3 linked regions of the Cricetulus griseus genome follow. The main gene of each other region encodes a partner of the protein of the gene in region 3 in a complex. Links are inferred from orthologs where the notes say so. Each region holds a gene or a part of one and is shown on either strand. Other genes may lie near its edges. The genes, in order: Sf3b4, Ddx42 and Sf3b1.

What was found.
Region 1: Sf3b1 (region 3) and Sf3b4 share a complex: the UniProt entries of both Homo sapiens proteins name them as parts of the SF3B subcomplex of the 17S U2 SnRNP complex. The link is inferred for Cricetulus griseus from reciprocal best matches to the Homo sapiens genes SF3B1 and SF3B4.
Region 2: the proteins of Sf3b1 (region 3) and Ddx42 are in contact, whole or in part, in a cryo-EM structure (PDB 7EVN), measured with the Homo sapiens proteins. The link is inferred for Cricetulus griseus from reciprocal best matches to the Homo sapiens genes SF3B1 and DDX42. Residues at the interface, in NP_036565.2 of Homo sapiens: Pro509, Pro510, Lys513, Arg517, Thr520, Asp557, Arg558, Tyr561, Lys562, Asp565, Leu566, Arg568, Pro569, Ile583, Ala607, Ile610, Ser611, Arg614, Glu622, Arg625, Asn626, Arg630, Pro646, Phe647, Ala650, Val651, Lys653, Ser654, Lys655, Lys656; in NP_031398.2 of Homo sapiens: Asn68, Glu71, Glu72, Tyr75, Phe76, Glu77, Asp78, Glu79, Glu80, Glu81, Asp114, Pro115, Leu116, Glu117, Phe119, Met120, Val123, Ala127, Asp130, Met131, Arg133, Leu134, Gly146, Ile147, Arg148, Ile151, Glu152, Glu153, Glu154, Asp155.

What each region holds. Positions count from the first base shown.
Region 1 is NW_023276806.1:60,351,444-60,355,191, forward strand, and holds the start of Sf3b4 (splicing factor 3B subunit 4), read right to left. Parts: upstream 2,253-3,748; 5' UTR 2,129-2,252; coding exon 2,095-2,128; intron 1,710-2,094; coding exon 1,581-1,709; intron 1,334-1,580; coding exon 791-1,333; intron 544-790; coding exon 337-543; intron 1-336. UniProt on the Homo sapiens protein: Component of the 17S U2 SnRNP complex of the spliceosome, a large ribonucleoprotein complex that removes introns from transcribed pre-mRNAs.
Region 2 is NC_048600.1:119,188,699-119,192,346, reverse strand, and holds part of Ddx42 (ATP-dependent RNA helicase DDX42), read right to left. Parts: intron 1,733-3,648; coding exon 1,456-1,732; intron 420-1,455; coding exon 193-419; intron 1-192. UniProt on the Homo sapiens protein: ATP-dependent RNA helicase that binds to partially double-stranded RNAs (dsRNAs) in order to unwind RNA secondary structures. Unwinding is promoted in the presence of single-strand binding proteins.
Region 3 is NC_048595.1:409,443,172-409,446,819, forward strand, and holds part of Sf3b1 (splicing factor 3B subunit 1), read right to left. Parts: intron 3,543-3,648; coding exon 3,397-3,542; intron 3,294-3,396; coding exon 3,147-3,293; intron 3,004-3,146; coding exon 2,878-3,003; intron 1,651-2,877; coding exon 1,429-1,650; intron 1,001-1,428; coding exon 818-1,000; intron 687-817; coding exon 575-686; intron 1-574. UniProt on the Homo sapiens protein: Component of the 17S U2 SnRNP complex of the spliceosome, a large ribonucleoprotein complex that removes introns from transcribed pre-mRNAs.

The sequences.
Region 1 (3,748 bases), on a different chromosome or scaffold from region 3:
GTCTACAGAATGAGTTGCAGGACAGTCAGGATCCTACACAGAGAGACCTTATCCCTAAAACAAAACAACAACAAAAAAAAATAAGCAAAAATGTCGCCTAGATCTGGCAACTGAGCTCCTTCCTGGGAATCAGAGGAGAGGCTGAGAGTAAAAACAGTAAGAACAGGCTATTCTGCAGAAAAAGGAAAAACCAGAGACAAGACGGGAGGGAGCTGAAGTACACACAGAAGTATTTTCTGAAGGAAAGGGAGACTCTAGACTATTTCCACCCAAGACAAAGAGCAGTGACAGAATCACTCTCACAAGCTCATCTCCGTTTCCCAGCAGACCACTTACCTGGATGGGGCATCCCACCTGGTGGGAATGGGTGAGGATGTGAGTGTCCGTGACCAGGATGCCCAGCTCCTGGAGTTCCTGCTGCTGGGGGGCCATGTCCTCCAGCCCCAGGTGGCATAGGTGGTGGGGGCATGGCTGGGGGTATCCCAGGAGGGAGGGCTCCAGGTGGCGGCACTGGAGGTGGGAAGGAGCCAGGAGGAGGCATGCCTATACAAGAAACGAGAGTCTATCTTGTGAAGAAAGAAAGACTGTCTTACAGAGCTCTAGCTTCCTTCCAGCACACTAAACTCCAGTCTCCCAAAGAAACCCAACATCTGCATCCCTTCCACCAGCACTCCTCATCCCTTTCTCGCTGCCCGCTGAGTTAACAGCTTACTCCCTCAGGGTTTCTTCTGCCTTCTGACCCTCCCTCCCAAGGGCCTCTCACTGGTGTAGTTTGAACTAAAAGCTTTACCTGGTGGAGGAAGCCCAGAACCCAGGGATGAAACCACAGGATTGGGGGCAGAGGGTGGAGGGGGTGCATCTGCGAACAGCTGGTGAGGACGGTCAGCCTGGGACAGCGGGTTCTGGGCTGCCAGAAGTCGTTCAGCTGCTGAGCCATGGCGCTCGCCTTTAGAGTCCTTCTTGAAGGCGTAAGACACAGTGATGGGTCTGTTACACAGGTACTGCCCATTCATGGCCTCAATTGCTGCATCCGAAGCATCAAAGGAGGCAAAATTAATGAAGGCATAACCCTTAGAGTTGCCTGTGTCAGGGTCCCGCATAATCTTGGGGGTTTGTAAGATGACCCCAAAGGCGCTGAAAGTATCATAAAGCAGCTTCTCATCGATTTCTGGGTCCAGGTTCCCAATGAAAATGTTGGCCCCTACATCCAGGTTTTTGTTGTGAGCTGAAGCCTTGTTCACCCGTATGGGCTTCCCATAGAGTTTGATCATGTTCATAATTTTAATAGCATAGTCAGCATCTTCCTCACTCAAGAATTCAACGAAGCCATAGCCTGGGGAATTGAAGAAAAGACTACTCAGATGAAGAGATTCAAAACGACACACTAACTCACCAGCCTCCAAACAAAGAACAAGTTGGAAGAATCCCAACTTCAAACTAAAGCTAAGAGACTACTCCTGAAACAAACTGCCAACTGAAGCTTAGAGAAAGAAACCATTCCAAAATAGCTGTGACTAGTGTTGAGATGCTTCAGGGGCCGCTAACCCAAAGTAAAGTCATTTCTTGCCGTAAATACTCACCTTGGTGCTGGCCAGTGACTCTATCCTTTGGCATGTGGGTGTTGACCACCGGCCCTGCCTGGAGAAAGAGCTCCCACAGCAGTGGTTCGCTCACTTTCTCGTCTAGACCGCCCACGTACACCGTGGCATCTAAAGCAAGAAAGCAGAAGGTAAGGACGAGGTCACGAGTTAAAAGGAAAACAGAAATTTAAAAAAAAAGTAACTAAAACCCTGAGATCACCCTTTGCCTGCCTAGTATAAAAAAACCCGCTCAAGTCTAATGTGGCGTTCTTGCGGATTGTGTACTTCCCGGTGGAGTTTCAATGATGCGCTTGGTAGCAGCGGGAGTGCCTACGGGAACCGGATCCAGAGGCATCACCCTCACAGGCCTCGGCCTCAACCCGGCCCCCAGGCCCAGCCCCCAGACGCGGGCCTTCCCGGGGAAACCTAGTTTCCCACGCTGGCGCTAACGCTTCTAGCACTCATCTGCCCTCCACCTCCCTGGGCCCACCTTGGGCTCTTCTCCCCCAATTACCCTGATTCCGTTCGGAGATGGGCCCGGCAGCCATGGCGAAGAGGCTCCCGCCGTCTCTAAGCGGCAGCACCGCCCTCTGACCTGTTACGACTTCCACTTCCGGGCCAAGGCTCCCATTGGGCGGGGCGGGCGGCAGGGGAGGAGCCGGAAGTGGCCGCGGCCATCTTAGGCGTCTGACGCGTGTCTGGAAAGACGCTGTGGTGGAGCTCTCACGACGCCCGGCTGGCGCCGAGGCGCTCAGGCCCCTCTTGACGACGCGGCTCTCGCCTGTCAGGCAGTCCCGCTGCTCCCCAGCCCAAATTTAAGCCCTAATCTCAGCCTTGTATGTTCTGTGACGCAGAGAAGCGTGCTGGGGGGAGGGAGGGGCGGGCCGGCTGCCTCGGGACGCAGCCTGTTACCTCAGTGCAGACGGAAGTGTCTGAGCCCCACTATTCGTGGGGTCATCTGAGGCACGGTGCCGCGTGTGTTCACGGTCAGTCTCAGCCTCGGGAGCACTCGGCAGCACCGTGCATCCCTCCCCTCCCACAGAAGAGACACTCAGAGAGCCTTCCTCCCGGGCCAGGACAGCCAGGGCTACACAGAGAAACCCTGTCTCAAAAAAAAAAAAAAAAAAAAAAAAAGGGGTTGGTGCTTCTTTCTCCAAATTTCGTCGGAATAGCCCCTCCTGTTTTGGGTCCTTAACTTCTTTTTTATCTATTTGTTTTGTTTCTCGAGACAGGGTTTCCCTGTGGCTTTGGAGGCTGTCCTGGAACTCGCTCTTGTAGACCAGGCTGGCCTCGAACTGGGTCCTTAATTTCTGTATCAATAATCTGGGTGCTTTTCTCTCAGTGCATACCCTCCCCCAACCACTTTACCGAGATCTTCATTCAACACAAGAAACAATACCAGCAATGTGTAGAAATACTGTGCTTTAATGAAGTCCTTAAATAGAAATACCACTACAAAAATATACAGTGGGAGGACAGGGTGTCTCCCTTATTTCCCTCATTCCCACAGAAGACTAAGAAACTGGATTTCAAAGCAGTGTGAGGGGTTGAGAATGAAGTCTCTGGGGCATCTTGTTGGAACTGATGAAGTGTCTCTGATCTCACAGTTTTGACAGTTTGTCATCTAAACGGCATGGAATTGCCAGAGAAAAAAAGGAAACGTTCTGAAGTGGTTTTGTTTCTTATTCCAGAGAAACAAAAATAGCTGGAGGTTGGTAGCTCCATGTCTGCTACAGAAACTCACTCACGGAGTGAGCTCCTTTATGGGCTGGAATGTGAAAGCTTGAAACACTGAGGTCAGATACAAAGAAACATGAGCAGAACTCCCTCCACATTCCCTCTGCCCTGCCTTCGAGAATGCTAGCAGTCTCAACGGATCTGAGAGAGGATGGTATTTGGATCTCTCTTCTTGCAGTGATCCTCAGGAGATATTCTTGGTGTCAGTTTTCTTAATAGTTCCTGAAGACAAGAGAGTTCATCCTGGAGGCCAGAGATTGTAAGAGCCGAGGAGCCCATCTGGGGAGGGGAAAACAAGGGCACAAAGGTCTCTCTCTCTTTCTTCCTCCACCCCTGCCCCCTTTCTCCTGGCTCCCTGTCTCTCTCTCTCTCTCTCTCTCTCTCTCTCTCTCTCTCTCTCTCTCTCTCTCTCTCTCTCTCTCATTTTGTTC
Region 2 (3,648 bases), on a different chromosome or scaffold from region 3:
ATTTTAGCCCAAAGAAAGGACTAGTTTTTCAACAGAAACTGTAGAAAGAATATACACACAAATTCCAACAACCAAAAACCACACCCTTCATGCCCACTTTCTTTTCAAACTCTTATTATCTTCCTCACTTGCCTGCTGAACTTTCTTACTTGGCTATGTAATTTCTCTTAATTTCAGGGGCCCACCCCTCACCTGCATTGCAAGGTCTAAGAGTTCCTTGGAAACATGTTGGTTGGCTCCTTCCAGATTCCGGACAAGGTCACCAGCAAAATTACTGTCCTTTGGGGTCAGTAACGTATAGGCCACACCCTTCTCACCCGCTCTTCCTGTTCGGCCAATCCTATGAGTATGGGTATCAATATCTCGTGCTACATCATAGTTAATGACTGTCTTAATTGAAGGAATGTCCAGACCACGGGCTGAAATAAGAAGTATTCAGATTCTTTTACTTTTCACCTACAGTTAAAAGAAAATCAAAGTACCTAGAAATGTTAGTTATAAGAGCATGCATTTTCCTATCTATCCACGAAAGCTCATGGGTATGAAGCCAAAAATAAAGAGTAGTTCACTCTATTGAGAGTAATACACACACACACACACACACACACACACACACACACACACACACACACACACACAGGATAATTTATTGGAATCACACTCTTAATCCCAATACTTGGGAGATGGAGGCAAGAGGCTCTAGAGTTCAATATAGCCTGGGTAATACATAAGAACTTACCTCAAGAAACAAAAACAAAAAATTTACACAAGTTAGCCCTCTAGGGATTCAGTTAGTAGTGCATCTGCATAAGAACTGGAGTTCAGTACCTAGAACCTGTGTGTGTGTGTGTTTATGCATGCACATAACACAGCGTACGTAGAGGGCAAAGAAAACTTGTAGGAGTCAGTTCTCTCCTTCCACTGTATAACTAGCCACGCTGTCAGGATTGGTTGGCAAGTACCCAATGAACCTCCTTGTAGATCCAAAGTATTAGTTTCTTTTTTCTTTTTTCTTCAAGACAGGGTTTCTTTCTGTGTAGTTCTGACTGTCCTGAAGTTGCTCTGTAGACCAGGCTGGCTTTGAACTCAGAGATCCTCCTGCCTCTGGCTCCCTAGTGCTGGGATTAAAGGTATGGGCCACTACTGCCCAGCTAAAAATACTTATTTTTAAGGGTAGCTGCTTAACTCAGCAAATAAAGCCAAAGCTTGAGATTAACGAATGTAAGATAAGCAGCATAGTAGACATAGGACATAGAAGTTTCCCCCGAGCATTCTCTAGCTGCAAGGGTATGTTAATGAAAGAGAACACTAGATGAAAGTGGCCAGAGTTGCTGCTTTATATAGGATACAATGGGAGCATTCCATCTGCCTGACTGGACACTATAGGTCCTATAACAGGGTAGAGTAACACGAATATATTAAAGACTAAGGTTATAGTGAAACTCATACTCTTACCTGCAACATCAGTGGCCACCAGGACAGGGATGTCTTTTTTCTTAAAATCTGAAATGACCTTGTTTCTTTCACTTTGGTCCATGTCCCCATGGAGCAGACCAAGATTATGACCCTCCTGCTTAAGGTTATTGGCTAGCTCTTCAGCATTGGCTTTTTTAGTAACAAACAGGAGGACACTCCCTGAAGAAGTAAACTCTACCAGACGCCGGGTAAGCCAGTTCCATTTACTAGGCCCAGAATGGAGTATCTCCACAATCTGTGTCACATCTTCATTTGCCTGAAAGAAAATAAAATAAGCAGCAATTGTGACACTGGTGCCACAGGGGATTTCACAGACTAGGTATTATATTTTCTACTGCATGGGAATAGCCCTGGACAGTCCCTGATATCTTTGGGTCTTCCTTTAGTATGTCAAATACAGCTTAAAACTTACTATTTTCTCAAAGCACATTGCTCACCAACTCCTCCTGGTATGTTCATATCTAATTTGTAGGCCCCAATTACCTGTAATGATTTTTTATGCTTATTCCTATCATTTCCAGAAGAGTAAACTATCTTTTGTTGTTATTGTTTTTTGTGGTGGTTGTTGTTGTTTTTCAAGACAAGGTTTCTCTGTAGCTTTGAAGCTTTCCTGGAACTTACTCTGTAGAACAGGCTGTCCTTGAACTCACAAGATCCCCCTGCCCCTGTCTCCTGGGAATAAAGTCATGTGTCACCAATGCCCGGCTTGGTCATAGTCTTTATCACAGCAACAGAAACCCTAACCAAGACACATTAGACAACAACTGCCAAAGTAATCTAAGGAATTTTCTTTTTTTCTTTTTACTGTATTTGTGTGCGTATCCATACATGCATACTTCCATGTGTTACGGCACACACATGAAGGTCAGAGAACAACTTCCAGGAATTAGTTCTCACCCTCGACAATGTGGGTCCTGGGGATTGAATTCATTAATAGAGACAAGCACCATTACTGGCTGAGTCATCTACTGGTGCCCAAGGAATTCTCTAAAAACCTTAACTGAATTCCAAATTCCAATTCAGAGAAATTACCACATAAGGACACATGTAGGTAAGCACGAAATCAAACTTATTCTTACCAGGTCCCAAAATTATCTCAGGCCACCCTATGCAGACTGCTTAAACAATCATTTAAGTGTTCCAGTCTAACTAACTTGAGTTTCTTTTAAAACGCAAAAAATGCAGCCAGTGGTTGGGCACACCTTTAATCACAGCACTCAGGAGGCAGAGGCAGGCAGAAGATCTCTGTGAGTTCCAGGCCAGCCTGGTCTACATAGTTCCTGAATTACCAAGACTGTTTCACAGAGAAAACCTGTCTCAAAAAAACTAAAACCAAAACAAAACAACAAAATCTTAAAAAAAAAATTTCAGGTCTGGAAAGATGGCTCAGAGGTTAAGAGCATTGACTGCTCTTCCAGAGGACCTGAGTTCAATTCCCAGCAACCATATGGTGGTTCACAACCATCTGTAATGAGATCCGGCGCCCTCTTCTGGCATGCACTGTATACATGATAAATAAAAATCTTAAAAAAAAAAAAATTCAAAAAACACTGGTAGTGCATGTCTTTAATCCCAGCACTTGGGAAGCAGAGGCAGGCAGGATCTCTGAGTTCGAGGACAGCCAGGGCAGTTACACACAGAAACCCTGTTTTGAAAAAACAAAAATGATTAAACATATAATACCCATATACTTACCACTCAGCTTCCATACAGCAACACTTTGCCACTCCCCTCAACTTGTTTAACTTAAAGCAAATCTAAATCATGTTGCATCATATAAAACATTTTAATTTTTAACTCATTACTGAAGGACAAGGTATGGTGGTGCTTGCCTTTCATTCTAGCACTCACGAGGCAGAGTGTTGATCTACAGGGCTAGTTCCAGGACTACATAGAGAAAGCCCATCTCAAAACAAAAGCAAAGTAACAACAACAAAATCATTACTTAAGAATTAAACTCAAAAAAAAAAAAAAAAAGAAAGAAAGAAAGAAAAGAAAAGAAAAGAAGGAAGGAACTAGGAACTTAAAGCCTGGTCTTTAATCCCACCACTCGGGAGGCAGAGGCAGGCAGATCTCTGTGAATTGGAGGCCAGCCTGGTCTACACAGTTAGTTCCAGGACAGCCTCCAAAGCCACAGAGAAACCCTGTCTTGAAAAACAAAACAAAACAAAA
Region 3 (3,648 bases):
AAGTCATATGCCACCACTGTCCAGCTACAAGAGATTTTAAACACAGGATTGCCTTTGTTTTTGCATTCATTACTTCCTGAAAAAAAATAAAAATAAAAAGTTCTCTCTCCATACCCAAGATGGTTACATAGATGTGTCTTTACTTATGGTGAAAAGACAGGCTAGTTTGCTGTCCTCTTCTTTGAACTCACAGCAAACAAAAAATCCTAATAACCTATCAAAATACTTTAACATAGAAGTCTGAGTAGATAAAGAACATTTCTAAAATTAAATCACAACCTCAGGGTTGCTCCTCCCCTTCCAGAAGATTCTGGATTACTTTTCTAATTGATGCACTAGTTCTAGAAGGGTCCTCTCTCCCAGTAACCATTTCCATACCTAGTATATCCTAAATTTCCCCTTTAAGGTTTTCAAGTAAAATACAAATGGACAACAGGGACTTTTATGACATTCTCTGACAACCCTGAAGTGTTTAAAAAAAAAAAATCCTAAATACGACTTTATATTTTACTTTCAAAATACAAAGAAAATGACAAAGCCAAATCTAAACATAGTCAGTCAGGCAATCACATACCTATTACATTTACAATAGCCTTCAGTGCTCCAAGAATGCTGCCCAATACTTCAGGGTATTCTTCACCCAAATATTCATACAGTACCACACCCAAGTGCCCCATCAGTTTTTCCTGTAATGAAAGAATGATTTAAAACAATATTTTCTCCATTAAACAAATTAAACCTGCTGTATGTATGTATGTATGTATGTATGTATGTATGTATGTATGTATGTATGTATAAACCTGGTAGAATAGATTACCTCTTGACAAGTCTTCATAACAACAGCAGTTCTGGAAATCAAGTCGGCTGCTTGTTGTCGAACTTTTGCTGACTTGTTATTTAAACGCCACAAAACTGTACCACAGATCTGAGGCAAGTATGGTTTGACTCGTTTGCCAAGAGCATTAACTACTGTGCCAAAGCCATTCAACATTACAGAATCCTAAAAGAGAAAAGCTAAGTTACAATATTTAAAAAACAAAAATCACTAAAAATACAAAATTTAGTTTTAACTGAAAGTTGATTAAATAACATTCAATCTTTACCAACCACCCAAACATGCTGTTGTTTTTAAATCAAATCCAAAAATCTGAGGTAAAAGAAACTGGTACTGAAAATGCTAAAACTTAAATTACTTTTAAGTGATACCTGCTTTTAAAGTAAGTTTTCTACATATGCAAGAGTCAACTGCAATGTGGCACAATAGTTAGCTATGATGACCATCGTGATGGCTGCCCCCAAGCCTGACTCCAAGGGAACACATGGTGGAAAGAGAGAACTGATTCCGGAAAGCTGCCTCTAATTTTCACCCACACACATGCACACAAAATAAAATGTAGAAACTAGAAATAAATGATTAGTTGCCATTACCTCTGTAGTCTGTTCTTGGAAAGCATACAGAATACCATCAATCAATTGTTCTTCAAGTTTATGATCAATATCTGCTGCACCTAGGTTGCCCATAATTTTCTCAATTGTTTCCATCACCATTTTCCTGTACTGTTCAGCTTCATCTTTCAGATCATCCACAATCCTAGATATAATTTCTGCTGCTCCTACTTTGTTTGCCAACTCCACAGTCGTATCAACTAACTAAAAAGACAAACACAAAACCCTTTTAAATCTATTACTTTTCCAACTTTCACAGTCAGAGCAGTCAGAACATGGTGGGTGGCTCCTGCTTAGAATCCTAGCACTCAAAAAGCTGAGGCAGACCTTCGAAGTTCAATGCCAGTCTGGCTATTTAGCAAGGTCCAGGCCAGCCTAAGAAACATGAGATTCTATCTCCAAAACAAAAATAACTCTTAAGAAAATTATACTTGTGTCTCAGCAAAATGGAGAAATCCTCAATCTACCAGACAAAAACATTGGCTCATAGTTTATTACTGGTGAGCTGGGAGGCTGAGGCAGAAGGACCAAGAATATGAGTGAAACCAGCCTATGCTGCAAAGTGAAATTTTGTCTCAAAAGGAAAAAATGGGATGTAGAGAGGGTTCAACTTGCTGTCACACCTGACAATGAGTTTGATCCCCATAATCCAACTCAAAGAGGGGACTCCAGCCAGCTGCCCTTTTACTCCACAACATGCATGCACTGGAGGACATGCACACACCATGACTAAATGTAATTTAAACACAAGTACAAGCTGAGGGAGACAGGGTGCATGTCTTTGTTAATGCCCTGGGCACTGGGCTGAGAAAGACCTCAGCACTTAAGAGTACTGGTTTTTCTTCCAGAAGACCCAACACCCACAAAGTAGTTTACAAATGTCTATAATTCCAATATCAGGAGACATCTGGCTCAGGCTGTCTGTAACTCCAACAGCAGGAGATCCAATGACCTGACCTCTGAAGGCCTGAGACACACCAAATGATGCAGAGATATACACATTGACAAAACACCCATACCACACACATGAAAAATAAACATTTAAAAATTTTAAATGCACTAGTTTCATGGGAATTTTACATTAAATGCATGTTTTTCAGAAAAAAAAAAATTTAAAAAGGCAAAAAAGCAGCCAGGCATAGTAGAGCACACCTTTAATCTCAGCACTTATAAGAAGCAGATGGATCTGGGGAGTTTGAGGTCTACATAGCAATTTCCAGGCTACACGGCCTCAAAAAAGAATAATGAATGAATGAATGAATGAATGAATGAATGAATGAATGGGCTTAAAAAGTCTATCTCCTGTCACAGTAAATAAAGCACATATAAATTTTCAGATAGTCAAAGCAAATTATAGTATGTAATATGCATTCTAGGTAAGTAGAAAACTAGTCAAAGATTTTTGAGACTCAAACTTTAATAAAAGGTTACCTGTCGATAATTTCTTCTATCCAAAGCCATTCTGTGTTGCCAGAAGTGTTTAAAGAAAGGAGGAAGAATCTCTGTTTTAATGTAGTTTGCTTCTACACCATCTGTTCCACAGCACTGTTTCACTACCTAAAAGGTAAAAAATAAACGTAACACTGACAGAACACAACGTAAGTTTGTGGTTTTTTAATATTATAAAGGCCCCTTTAAACTTCCAAAACATACACATTATGAAAACAAACATGTACCCATAAGCTGGAACAACTAATTACCTTCAATACAATTTTCTTCATTTCTTCATCTGGAGACTGGAATTCTCGAATAAGGATTAACATCACTTCTCTAGTATAGTAGTTGGCATATTCTGCATCCATAAGAGGAATAAGATACCCAATGGCCTTTAAGAAAGCGGCTAAACCCTATTTAAAAATAAAATGTATAAAAATACACACACATCAGTAAATTAAGTTTAGCTTGTCCTAATTAACAGTAACAAAACCAAAATCTATTGAGTGGGTTTACCTTTCCTCTGTGTTGGCGGATACCCTTCCATAGAGGTTTGAGCACAGAATCAAAAGATTCGATACCGTAAGGAGTTGCTGCTTCAGCCAAAGCAGCAATGGCCAAAGCACTGATGGTCCGAACTTTCTGCTGTTCATCCACAAGACCTATACAATCAAACACAGGTGTGAGCAGGCACCAATACCTAATTTTCACAATACAATCCAAACTTTATCATTGTATCTAACCTTGTATCCAAACTGCGAGAAATGT